2 linked regions of the Tribolium castaneum genome follow. The protein of the gene in region 2 interacts with the protein of the main gene of each other region in a pairwise test. Links are inferred from orthologs where the notes say so. Each region holds a gene or a part of one and is shown on either strand. Other genes may lie near its edges.

Region 1 (7,376 bases), on a different chromosome or scaffold from region 2:
CTTTTTTACTATTTGAAATATTGCCTATTGCCATGCCGTTTTCACTTTTAGATAGATCAATTTAAAGTTCACAAATATTTTTTTTTAATTGTACACAGGGTATTGAATACGGGGTGGTGAACTAAAGTTACATGTTTTAAATGAAACACCCTATATAATTTTGCATAATTGGATTCCACGCAAAAAAAATTATGTAACTTTATACAAACTATTATGGGTCTACTCTTTTCGTTTTGGAATTATTCAACTTTTCGTTATAAAAAAGGCCAATTTTTGAAAACTCACTGCAAAGTCGCCTATAAATATTTTCCAAAAAATTTACAACAGAAAAACTTAGAATACCCTGTAGTTTTAGTCAAAGCCAGTAGATATACTAAAGTAGCGACACGGACCTTGACAGGGCAACAATAACGATTATATACTCTAGAGAGGGCGCAACTATCGAAATTCGACATATACCGCATTATTTACATAAAATGCCTAGCCTTGAAAAGCCTTAGTAAGTGCGTTTTGTCTCTGTTTCTACGTTTAATCTTCACTAAATGAAATTGCTAAAGGGGATGCTCTAAAGAGATATTCGTTAAAGGTCACATTAGATGATAGATTTAAATCAAGAATGTATTTAAACAGGCAGTTTAGTTTTCCAAGGCTCGACATTTTTTGTAATAACGCTGTAATTTTAAAGGTTCGTCAAATTGTCAGTAATTTTGAACATACGTCAAAACTGTCAAGATTCTCTCATTTTGAAAAATTGGTAAAGAGTACAGTGATTCTGGTGTTCATCTGTAGTTTTACTGTGGTTATTGGTTATGAACAGATTCCATGGAACTTTCAAACCTGTGCTTCAATCACGTAAATAATAAATCGACACCAAAAACATTAAACAAAGGAGCCTCCAGACTGTTCAAAGTCGTCTACATTACGAAACACGTCTGTGTGAGAATACTAGAAACTCATTCAAACAAAATTTGTTTAAGAAATGTAAAGTGGTAGGTATCAGCTTGAAAGAGAAATTTCTAAGATACCAAATTTTCATTAAGTATTTCAGGTAGATTTAAACAATACTTCCTTGAAAATTCATTCTAAATTATTAGATTCCGCCCTAATGGGAAAGAATTTAAGACCGCTCTGCTTACACTGACCTTCGTTTCAGAAAATTTAATGCATCTAAATCTGGGAATTGTAGCGCATCGAAGTTTGGTGGACTTTTTATAGCCACTTATTTACAGCAACTATGTTATACAAAATTTCAATAATAAAGAGAAATTCAGGTTGTATTATTTCTATTTCTTAGGTAATATCGAGGTGTAAACCGTACCCCAAATTTTGTACACCTGTGATTTAATCATGATTCCTTCTGATTTTTCCCTAAATTTTTAAAGTGATTTCCTTAAAATTTCTTGATTTTGTACACTGATTTCCTCTGCGGTTTACCTCTCGGGTAATATTGAAAACACTTACTTTTCTTATTGCGAAAGATGTCTTGGTTTCATAGCAGTTGTTAATAGTGTTGAGGGAAAAAATTAAATTTGATTAAAAAAAAAATAAATCGACCAATTTAAAATCCTGGAGTAATTAAATACGATAACCTGTAAAAACACTTAGGGAGCAGTTTATTAAAATTAGAAATGTAGGTAACAAAATTTTTTGAGTTCAACAACTATTATTTAAAAACGTGTTGTTGGCTTTTTCGTTAAATATAAAGTTCAAATTCCTTTAAGAAATGAATTCACTATTGAAGCGCCTTCCTCGAAATGTCCATAAGAGGTGCTGTATTCTGCGCATTCTAAAAGCCTTTCTCATTGCAATGTTCAGTTGAATTTAGGGAGATCTGATTTACTTTACGTGAGTGAAGCACAGGTTTGAAGGTTTCATGGTATCTGTACACATAAACAGTAATAACCAGGGTGAAATTATAGACGATCACCGAATTTATTGTTCTGATTCACCAATTTTTCAAACGTGAGAAAATCTTGACATTTTTGACGTACGTTTTTGAATTTTGATGGTGGAGCCATCTGTAGAGTGTATAATCGTTATTGTTGCCCTGTCAAGGTCCGTGTCGCTACTTTAGTATATCTACTGGCTTTGGTTTTAGTAATAGTCGACTTTTACTTAAAACACGCAGGTGTGCCAAAACGCAAAAAGTTGAGTAACTCATTTTTTTTCAAATGGAACACCATATATTTTTTACACGTATCGATAGCATTTTTCATAAGCTTTCTAATGATATGCGGTTTGCATAACAAATTTGAAGTATTTCTTAAAGTGTTTAAAAATAATATTTTTTTTACTTATTTTATTATTAGTTCTTGATGAGCAAAATTCATTTATGTATCAAATAATAATTAGATTACTAATGTAATTAGTCACATTAGTACATACCAAAAAATAAATTACCATTTGACTTATTTTAGGATTCTAGGATAACAAATTTTCTTGTAATAAAATGATTTTTTTCGAAAAATTTTGAAAAATATTTTAAATTTGCTATACCGTCAGAAAGCTTATCAAAAATGCTATCAATACATAAAAAAAACAATGAGTTATTCCACTTTTAGCGTTTTGGCACACTCTGTATATTATCAGCTTGCTTTAACTAAAAGTCATGTATTTGCTAAAACTACAAGGTATTCTAAATTTTTTTGTTGCAAAATTTGCCGGACTTTGGATTGATTTTTCAAAAATTGGTCTTTTCATAACGAAAAGTTCAGTAATTCCAAAAACGGATAAAGATAGACCATAATAGTTACATTATTTTTTGCGTAGATTCCAATTATGCAAAAATATCTAGGGTGTACCATTTAGAAAAATATAACTTTGGTTCACCATCCTGTCCATAATAAAAATATTTTTAGTTTGTGGATTTTAGGTCTATCTATCGGAAAATAAAAACAGCATAGCAATATTTCAATTACCAAAAAATAGACCGATTACACCCCCTGGGCCACGTTGATAAAATTGATATGTTGATAAAATTCACCATAAATTTCGATTACCGTTAAGAAATTATGGTCCTTCCCTTTGAAAAAACTGTTTTTTGAAAACCATTTTGAAAAAAAATCTTACTAGCCTTGAATTTTGGCAATTGACAATTTTGAAAATTCTAAAAGACTTCACAAAATTTTTCAAAGTGTGGACTTCATACTTTATGCATGAGTACTTTTAAAAACTAGAAATTCTTAAAGTCATTGGCAACTTAAAAAACAACTTTATTTTAAATGATAGTACTGCAAGTGCTTACCGTTCTTCTGTATCTGCTCTCTAACTCAAGTTATTTCGAATTAAAGTTGGAGTTATGACGTTGTAACCGCCTATTGAGCATTTGGTCCAATTGTAAGATGTTTTTAAGGCAAAATTTAGAACAGAAATTAGTCAAAAAAGTAGTTAATTTTTGATTTTGTGAAAAATGTGTGAAAAATGTTCAAATATCTGTGAAGTTTTTGACGATTGAGAAGGTTGAGTGATGAAAGGCGGTTGTGACGTCACGATTTCTTTCTTTCGAAGCGATTATTTCACTTATTTCTCCAGGAAATTTTGAAAAAAACCTACTGGCATGGAACGAGCGATATTTTAAATTTCCGTTAAAAAATAGAACTGGCAAAATAAGTTGCCAATGCCTTTAACAAAGATTAGCTAGGTAAGTGTCCAAAATGAGTACATAAAAATGATTATAAATTCGACGGATTAATATTTAATATCTAATATTTTTGACTTTTGTACCCGTTGAAATATTTGATTACAGGATGAGTCTGCTAAGGAATGTTAAAAAATTGCGCTAACTACAGAAAAATTAGATTTATTTATTGTGTATTCAAAGTTTTAAAAAGTATATAAATGGCAGTAAAATCTAAAAAAAATTGCATTATTGTGTTTGTCATTGGATATTGAGTTGATGCACTTCTGACAATAAATCAGGACAATCAAAAATCGTTCAAAAAGTTAGCAAAAAACTGGTGTTTCACTAATTTATTATTTTAAATATCCGCTGATATTTGCCTAATTAACTGTCATGTCGCTATTTTAACGTTCCAATTAAAAAATTGCCACAGTGCAGAATTGTCTAAAAATAAAAATTGGAAATTTAATTTTAATGAATTATTACTTTTTGATATTTGATTTTGCGAATTATCATTAGCACAGAGCTTGCAAAAAGTGGAAAAAGCTGCAAGAATCTGTCGAAGCCTCTCAAGCACTAATCTAATAGATAACTCTTTATCACTCTTAAATTGCTACAACACATGTATCGATTCATGTAATAATAAACCACTTTTAAGCCCATCGCTGATAAAATAGTGTGAAAATAATGTAAAAATCTGGTCGATCAAAAGCCCGTCTTTATTCCGATCCATCAGAACCGACGAACGCCTCTGGAATTTTAATAAGTCGAAAAAATCGACCCACCCTTAATCACACATTAAACCCATCATTACTCCCTTCGAACTAACCATACACAAAAATTTCACATAATTACTTGTCACGCGATTCGTATCGATTTTAAAATTATTTATGCGTTCCGGGGGAATTTCCAAAAAGCTAACCGTCGTCCGCGCTCACCCTTCGCAACGCTTTTGCACCCCTAAAAAGGGGCTAAACTGGGTAATTCCCCCTCGTTTTGCAATTTTTGGAAAATTCCATTTCCAAATTAGCCCGAGAGCGCGACGTAGTCAACAAGGGCAATTTAAATAGGGATTTTCCCGAAGGGTTTAGAAGCAAAAAAATGTGACTAAAACTCACCCCGATTTTTTTAGATGTTTTTAGTGAAAATTTAAGGACGGAGACACTGAACTAGCTACAAATGGCGGCATCACTATATAGGTCACTATTGAATCAATCTGCGCGCGTCTTGCAATTGATTTTGGGGGACCGGAGCAGTGACGTCACGCCGGGGGCGGCGGCATCTGCCGACAAATCTCCGATTTGATTTGATTTTAATAATGGCCAAACATGTACAAAATTTCAGAAATTTTCGTTTTCGAAGTATAGGGCTGGCACCAATCTTGGCACACCCTGTATACTAGGAAACGTTACTCAAAAAAAAATAAGTTTTACTAGTTTTTTTAATATATCGTTTACAATACAAGTAAATAAAAGCAAAAAAAAATGTTCCATAAAGAAAATCAAATCATTGAATTTTTAAATGAGTCTGGTGCCATCTTCCAGTTAGTTTTATAGTAAGTGACAAATTACAGGTCGCTACAGTTTGAGTCTGTCTAGAGATAAAAATGTCACAAGGTTAGGATATAAAACGACGTACCAATAAAACGTTCCCGTTCTCGGTAGTTCCGTTAATGTCGCCAGAGAGCGCAGTTGTTCCATTACCGTCTTAGTTTTCCGAACCATGAATTTGAAAAAATGGACGGTAGCAAACCAAAAAAAAACAAAATTCAGGCAAATAGTGCAATAAATCCTCAATAGTAATACATAAACATAATGCGAAAATCTTATCATAAACTATCTCAATGTCATTAAAATTGCAACACCAAGGACATAGAATTTTTTTATGAAACTTGGCACAAATGGTCGACGTTTAACGAGTCATAATTGATTAAACTTTGAACCATTTTAATTACTTAATAAAATACCAAAGGTCCTTTTAACTCTTATTTATTATTTTTGATAATGTTAGAGCTGTTTCAACCTCAGACACAAATACATAACAGATGGCGTAACGGCCGAAACATAATGAAAAAAATTCTATAAGAGTTAAAAGGACCTTTGGTATTTTATTAATAACTAGCAGTTGGCCACGGCATGTCTACAACCATTTATAAACACAGAAAAACAATGCAAAACTTAGTATAACAAAAAGTAGAAACACATCAGTTTATTGTGAACTTTAAAACCGTGATCCAATGCAAACCCGAGTAAATTTTGCTTTTTTTTTCATAATTGCAAACATACTCATTCCCTGTTTAACCCTCTTGTGGATGTAATTTTCAAAAAGGTCCATATGCCAATTCTCTTGAATATAACTTCAAAAAATGAAGGAGTTTTGCATTTAATTCCATTAGGGGTGGAGTTTCTAAAAATGGTGTAATATACGCCTCTTCCTTTTTAACTGAATATCTAAGATATTAATTGATATGTATAACTTCAACAATAAAGTTTTTTTATATTTACCGAGTGCTCAAAAACCGGCGTACCAACTCAATGGTGTGTGGTAGAGAATTGCTTCTATATGAAGGTAAAAATAGTAAAAAAATTCCTTGCATTAGAGTTATTGATAAATAACGAATTTTAAATAAATGATATGTGGCAACGTTGTCGGACAGTCGTGATTGCAATAGAATTTCATCAACAATAAAAATAAATTATTTTTGAAACGGTTTCCTAGGAAATAATTCCCAGTGTTGACACATCTACAAACTGATTTTTTGATGAATTTTTTTTTTTAATTCAAAAAACTGCTAAAGTCTGATAGTAAATTTAAAAATCACTATTCATCATTGTGTATGGGATCGATTGCTTAGTGTGAAACATAAAAACATTAACAAATAATGAGAACTGAAGAAGTTAACAAAATAAGATTGTAGCTCCATATTTTTTTAAATATGACTTTAGAAATTTTTTCAAAATTTTTCCCGTAATCTACACATGCTTTTCGACAACGTATCAGTGAGTTGGTGCGCCAGTTTTTGAGCACCCTGTATAACTTGAACAATGAAGGATTTTTTTTTAATTCCCTTGGAGTAGAATTTTCAACAATCCTGAAACACGCGTTTTTTTATTTTTAGATGAACCCTCAAATACCAATTTTCTCGGTTATAACTTGGAAAATGGCACATTTTTATATTCAACCCTCTTAGAAGTGAAATTTCCAAAATCCAGAAACACGTCTTTTTGCATTTTTAGTCGAAAGATCAAATACCATTTTTCATGAATATAGCTTCAAAAATTACGATGTTTTATGTTTATCCCTGTTTGAGGGTGTAATTTCTAAAAATAATAAAATACTTGTTTCTTTATTTTTCACCGAATGGCTAAATACCAATTTTTATAAATATAATTTCAAAAATGATGGATGTTTATATGTATTTAACCCCTTTAGGGGTAGAAAGTCCAAATGTACTTAAACACACGTTTTTCATCTTTAACCAAAAGTTTAAGTACCAATTGCATGGAAAAAAATTAAAAATTATGGATTTTTATACAAATTCCAACCCCTGTTCAACCCCCTTGACGTTAGTATTTCCAACTAAAACACGTGTTTCTTCACTTTTCACTGAAAGCCCCAATACAAAGTTTAATTAATGTAAATTCAAAAGTTACAAATTTTTATTCAAGATTTATTACCCCCTTGGGGTTGATTTTTCGAAAATTCTGAAACACATCATCCTTCTTTTTTAACCGAAAGCCCAAATACTAATTTTCAT
Region 2 (6,672 bases):
AACATCATTTTTGACAAGATTCGATAACGTTTTGGATATTTTGTGAAGAAATTTTGCAGAATAATTAATGTATAGCAAGGTTATATCTAACATTTTCGATCCAATACAGTAGAAAATGTAAAAATTTACTAGTGTTTGAACTAATTTCGTTTTTTTAAATTTTTTGCGGTTTTTTCTTTTTCTCTTTTTTTATGTTCAATTTAAATAAAAACAACTACTGATACATTACAATATTACTATGATCCACTCAAAAATATAAGATTGGACACTAATTTTAGAACGCAGAGAGTTTAAATTTTACGTAATTTAGTGATTTCTTGTCCCATTCTATTGAATTTTTTTAATAGAAACTTTAGTTAAAGAGTCGTTCAAAATAAGTTGTTTTCATCTTAACTATAGCACAAAACTTTCTTTAAAACAATGATATGGCGTCTTAAGTTATAAACGTTTACTCGTTTTTAGGCAAAAAATCAACCGAAATAAGCTATTTTTATCCAAATTATAACACAAAACTTGTCTTTTAAGCCATAATATGGCATTTTGACTTAGTTTTAAGAAAGTTAACTCTTTTCTAAGCAAAGAATTGTTTGAAATAAGTCGTTTTCATCTAAACTATAACATTTTTTTTTGAGTTTGTTTTATACCAGTTTACTAACTTTTAAGCAAAATTGTCCGAAATAAGCCGTTTTATCCTAACTATAACACTATTTGTTATAGCTTGCATAAGACGTTTTCAGTTTGTTTTGTACAAGTTTTCTTGTTTTTAAGCAAAGAATCATGCGGAATAAGCTTCTTTCCACCAAAGTCAAACATAAATAATTTTTTCAACTAGAATAAAACATTTTCTGTTTGTTCTATGAAAGTTTTCTTGTTTCTTAACAAAAAATTATCTGTAAATTTTATTTAAATTATTAAACGTATTGTTTCCTCTTTCCCGTCATAGGTCTTTCTTTTAAGCCAGAATATGGCGTTTTTAGTCTGTTTTAAGAAAGTGTACTCATTTCGAAGCAAAAAAATAGTCCGAAATGAACCAAATCAAACCAAATTATAACATTATTCGTTCTTTTGAAACTGAATAAAGCATTTTCAGTCTGTTTTTTTTAAATAAAGCAACAAATCGTCCGGAATAAGCCGTTTTCATCTAAACTATAACATAATTTTTTTTATGCTGAATAAGGCGTTTTCAGTTTGTTTTATATCAGTTTACTCATTTTTAAGCAAAAGTGTCCGAAATAAGCCGTTTTTATTCCAACTATAACACTATTTGTTTTTTTGAGTCTGAATAAGGCGTTTGTAGTTTGTTTTATAAAAGTTTTATAAAAATAGTCCGAAATAAGCCGTTTTATCCTAACTATAACACTATTTGTTTTTTTTCGAGCTTGCATATGGCGTTTTCAGTTTGTTTTGTACAAGTTTTCTCGTTTTTAAGCAAACAATCATGCGGAATAAGCTTTTTTCCGCCAAAGTCTTACATAAATAATTTTTTTAACTAGAATAAAACATTTTCTGTTTGTTCTATGAAAGTTTTCTTGTTTCTTAACAATGAATTATCTGTAAATTTTATTTAAATTATTAAACGTTTTGTTTCCTCTTTCCTGTCATACGTCTTTCTTTTAAGCCAGAATATGGCGTATTTTTTCTGTTTTAAGAAAGTGTACTAATTTCTAAGCAAAAAAATAGTCCGAAATGAACCAAATAAAACCAAATTATAACATTATTCGTTCTTTTAAAACTAAATAAAGCGTTTTCAGTCTGTTTTTTTCAAATAAAGCAAGAAATCGTCCGGAATAAGCCGTTTTCATCTAAACTATAACATATTTTTTTTATGCTGAATAAAGCGTTTTCAGTTTGTTTTATACCAGTTCACTAATTTTTAAGCAAAATTGTCCGAAATAAGCCGTTTTTATTCCAACTATAACACTATTTGTTTTTTTGAGTCTGACTAAGGCGTTTGTAGTTTGTTTTATAAAAGTTTTATAAAAGTAGTTTAAAACAAGCCCTTTTATCCTAACTATAACACTATTTGTTTTTTTTGAGCCTGCATAAGGCGTTTTCAGTTTGTTTTGTACAAGTTTTTTCATTTTTAAGCAAAGAATTATGCGGAATAAGCTTTTTTCCACCAAAGTCTAACATAAATAAGTTTTTTAACTAGAATAAAACATTTTCTGTTTGTTCTATGAAAGTTTTCTTGTTTCTTAACAAAGAATTATCTGTAAATTTTATTTAAATTATTAAACGTTTCGTTTCCTCTTTCCTGTCATACGTCTTTCTTTTAAGCCAAAATATGGCGTTTTTTGTCTGTTTTAAGAAAGTGTACTCATTTCTAAGCAAAAAAATAGTCCGAAATGAACCAAATGAATCCAAATTATAACATTATTCGTTCTTTTGAAACTGAATAAAGCGCTTTCAGTCTGTTTTTTTCAAATAAAGCAAGAAATCGTCCGGAATAAGCCGTTTTCATCTAAACTATAACATAATTTTTTTTATGCTGAATAAGGCGTTTTCAGTTTGTTTTATACCAGTTTACTTATTTTTAAGCAAAAGTGTCCGAAATAAGCCGTTTTTATTCCAACTATAACACTATTTGTTTTTTTGAGTCTGAATAAGGCGTTTGTAGTTTGTTTTATAAAAGTTTTATAAAAATAGTCCGAAATAAGCCGTTTTATCCTAACTATAACACTATTTGTTTTTTTTTGAGCTTGCATAAGGCGTTTTCAGTTTGTTTTGTACAAGTGTTCTCGTTTTTAAGCAAAGAATCATGCGGAATAAGCTTTTTTCCACCAAAGTCTAATATAAATATTTTTTTTTAACTTGAATAAAACATTTTTTGTTTGTTCTATGAAAGTTTTCTTGTTTCTTGACAAAGAATTATCTGTAAATTTTATTTAAATTATTAAACGTTTCGTTTCCTCTTTCCTGTCATACGTCTTTCTTTTAGGCCAGAATATGGCGTTTTTTGTCTGTTTTAACAAAATGTACTCATTTCTAAGCAAAAAAATAGTCTAAAATGAACCGTTTTCATCCATTATTTAACATTTAACATTATGTGTTCTTTTGAAACTGAATAAAGCGTTTTTAGTCTGTTTTTTTCAAATAAAACAAGAAATCGTCCAGAATAAGCTGTTTTCGACCGAAGTCTAACATAAATCATTTTTTGAATTAGAATAAAACATTTTTTGTTTGTTCTAAGAGTGTTATCTCGTTTCTAACCAAAGAATCGTCCGTAAATAAAAGTTTAAGCGTGTTTAAGCACATGATAAATTTGCACAAAATGTAATTTACACTCAGACGCCCTAACATACTAACGTTTCGTTTCCTCCTGTCGACCATCCTCAGGCCTTGATCGGAAACCTCAAGAATGCACGGTTGCGACTCCGGATCGCTTCCCGAATTTCCGATAACCCTCCTCACGGCTTGACAAACCACCGACGTCCCCTTGTGTGCTAACGTCTCCACCGACCCCAAATACCCCAACAAATACCGCTCCCTCCTCCCGTGCTCACACGATGAATCCCAATCGCTGTAATCACAGTCCACTGCATAAGCAGACGGGAAAATCCCCATCCTCCCCGTCCGCAGATTAACCCCTAAATAATAACAACACGATCAGTTTTATCGCAGCGCTCCAGCGCTCAAAGTCCCACCTTCCGACCAGAGATCGTCCGCCTCCTTCTGCACGTAGATTGGGTCCCCGATTTCCACCTCGATCTCGTCATCGTGTCGGGGAACAAACTTGTGAAGTCCCCGATGGGTGGCTTCCAGCATTTCAACGTCGTTGTACACCAGGCCTCCGTCGACGCACGAAGGCGATATGCCCATGATGGGCGACATGGATTTGAAACCGTCGGTTCCTGTGGGAGAATGGGCCGTGCTGTGGCCGCTGTCGGCGTCTGTGATAAGGCGCTCCGAATCGGGCGAGTCTGTGTCCCATAGATATCCGCATTTTAATACTAAGATTGAGCTTGGTCCGCTGCCTCCTCCCCCTGTACTGCCTAGTTCGTCTGCGAGAGACATTTCTCGAGATACGTGGTATTGTGCATTGTACATACTGACGACAGAAGCTGCAAAAATACACTGGTATATAATAAAGATTTAAAAATTGTTGGTAAAATGACAAGTGAAAACACTGTCAGTGAGTTTGACACGAAATAAAATGGTTAATAATTTTGGTGACCAAAGAGTTGAAAAGATAGTCCGTAAGGCGTGTATGTTGTGTAGTGTAAACTATAGCTGGTAAAATTCTCCGTAAATATTAATTTTTTCGCTTTGATTGCATTTGAGAAGCATTAACGTTTTTAATGTTTGGCAAAAATGGTGGATGCGCCGAGATAATAGTTAGTTTTGTAATTTGCCGCCATTTTGATGCTTTAATAGACATCTTAAAGCACTCAACATTATCAAGTGCAAAGTTATAATAGTCATTATTTGACTAAACATTTTATGAAATTTTTTATTTTGACAGGAACCAAATTCGCAACCGTATTTTTGTAAATTTCTTAAATTTCAAAAGGCGTTTTTGCAAGATTACCTTTAATATCATCCATACTCCTGTTTTTTGACCCAATTTGGATAAAAAAAAATGTTAATCAATTTATTACTTTCAAAATTGCGACATTACCAATCGTCAAAAAAGTCCCTAAATCTGTTAAAATAACAATTTTTGTTTAAAAACGGCAAATTACAAAAAATAGTCTAAAAAAATCGTTTCATGAGACTTTGAAGCACTCATTATTTCAAAAAATTTGTGGCCAATGCCACTCATTTTTGAAACTTGAATTCGTGTTTTAAGAATGATCTTATAAAACTTATTTTTTAATATCCTATTATTTAACGAGTTTGAGTGTAAATCGAATGTTTTATTTCACGAGTGGATTATCAAACCACGAGTGACAACAAGTGCTTTATCATCTACAAGGTAAAGTAAATGAACCGATTTATACAAAAAAGAGTTGAATACAACATTTTACTCATCTAATTAGACTCAGCAAGGCTTAAAATTGCTTTAAATCTGTTAAAAATAATCTGACGTTTTGTATTAAGAAACGCCAAATAGTTGTCAAAACTGTCTTACACTGGAGGAAAAACGAAAGTTATGACAGTGTCGAAAAATAAGATATTTTTATACCCATTTTATCAAAAAAATTAATGAGTAATTTACAGTATGCATTATTTTTCACTGAGCTTTAATATTTCTTATCTTTGTAATAACAAATAATGCATACTGTCAATTAATCATTTATTTGGTTTTGATAAAATAGGTAATAAACTAATTTTCCCAGCGCATCCACCATTTTTGCCAAACGTTGAATTCATTGTTACATAGAGTGTATAAAAGTAAATTTTATTGAAAGTAGGATTAAAAAAAAGAATCAAACTAGAAGTAACACTGGACTGACAAAACGGGCTATAAATTAGTAAACTCTTTATTCAAAAAAATCTTATGTTTTAACAAAATGAAACTACAACATTAACATTTATAGGACACTATACGAGTAGACACTCTGTGAAGAACAACTGTTTTAGTTCAGCTTAAACTTATTGTATTTAGCAGTGCTGTAATCGGACGTCACAGGTATAAACAACCAGTTACATGTGGAAAAAAAACATAAATATTTGTATTAGTGTAATTTCTTGTCGACTTGTTTTACAAGTGGTTTGTCATGAAGTCGTCTCAGGCAATAAGATGAGAATTATTTTAACAAACTTTATACGTTCTACTTGTTGCTTAAAAAATATGTATAAAGAATTAAACTCTTTGTAATAAAAAAAAAATTGAGTTATTTTACCTATGTCCAAATGTATTTATAGCCTCGATAATACGAACAGATGCAGTAGCCCTGGACTTTTAGTGTTTACACTTTTGAGATTGTACTGTAGTTTAAAATTTTAAAGTTATCATTTTTTACAAACTAGTGTGCAAAAAAATACGTTATGGACGTCCGTAAAGCCTAGTGATTTTCAAATAAGTTATACTGTATTACGGACTTTAGCTATTTGTTGTAATAAAAAAATTTATTGTCTTCGACATATTTCATGATAAAAACTCCAGATTTTTGTGAGAAAATTAAGTAAGAAATTGAACAATTTTAGAATAAAACAATATTGCTGTAGCTTCAACATCAATTTGATAATAACCAAAAATTTTGAGTGGTTTTAAGTATTTATTTTGAAATTTAGAATATAAAACTATTAATTTCTTTTATTATTGAAGTTTAAAAAAAAAGTGACAAAGCTACTTAGTTGCTAGAGGACACTAGCTGAGCAAAATCTTTTGCAGCGAAGCATTTAAATATTAGATGTCGCTCATAGGTAAGTTTTTAATTTCTTGCTAAAAAACGTACCCAAAAAATCAAAATTTTTTCTAAACTATATCTACAGATACATTTTCTTTTATTTATTAGAGGTTGCTGATAAACTGAAACTCATTAATTTATACTGGAAAACTCAAAAAATTATTTTTTCAAAACTCCAACAAGTTAAAGTTTCTGGAATTCTTAGAAATGCATATAATATTATTTGGAACGATAAAGTTTTTTATTTTCAGAAAATTTTTATAAACTAAGGAACTTATTTATCCTCGAAAACAAAAAAGAAATTTTTTCAAACTCAATCTAAGAGTGTTTTATGAACTTTCCAATTTCTTATGAAAGTCGAAGTACTAATGTTAGTATG

What was found.
Region 1: the proteins of Aplip1 (region 2) and Rbp interact in a two-hybrid assay, tested with the Drosophila melanogaster proteins (2 studies listed by BioGRID). The link is inferred for Tribolium castaneum from reciprocal best matches to the Drosophila melanogaster genes Aplip1 and Rbp.

What each region holds. Positions count from the first base shown.
Region 1 is NC_087401.1:8,016,913-8,024,288, reverse strand, and holds the start of Rbp (RIMS-binding protein 2), read right to left. Parts: upstream 4,862-7,376; 5' UTR 4,738-4,861; intron 1-4,737.
Region 2 is NC_087394.1:6,461,913-6,468,584, reverse strand, and holds part of Aplip1 (JNK-interacting protein 1), read right to left. Parts: intron 4,062-6,672; coding exon 3,645-4,061; intron 3,588-3,644; coding exon 3,307-3,587; intron 1-3,306. UniProt on the Drosophila melanogaster protein: The JNK-interacting protein (JIP) group of scaffold proteins selectively mediates JNK signaling by aggregating specific components of the MAPK cascade to form a functional JNK signaling module.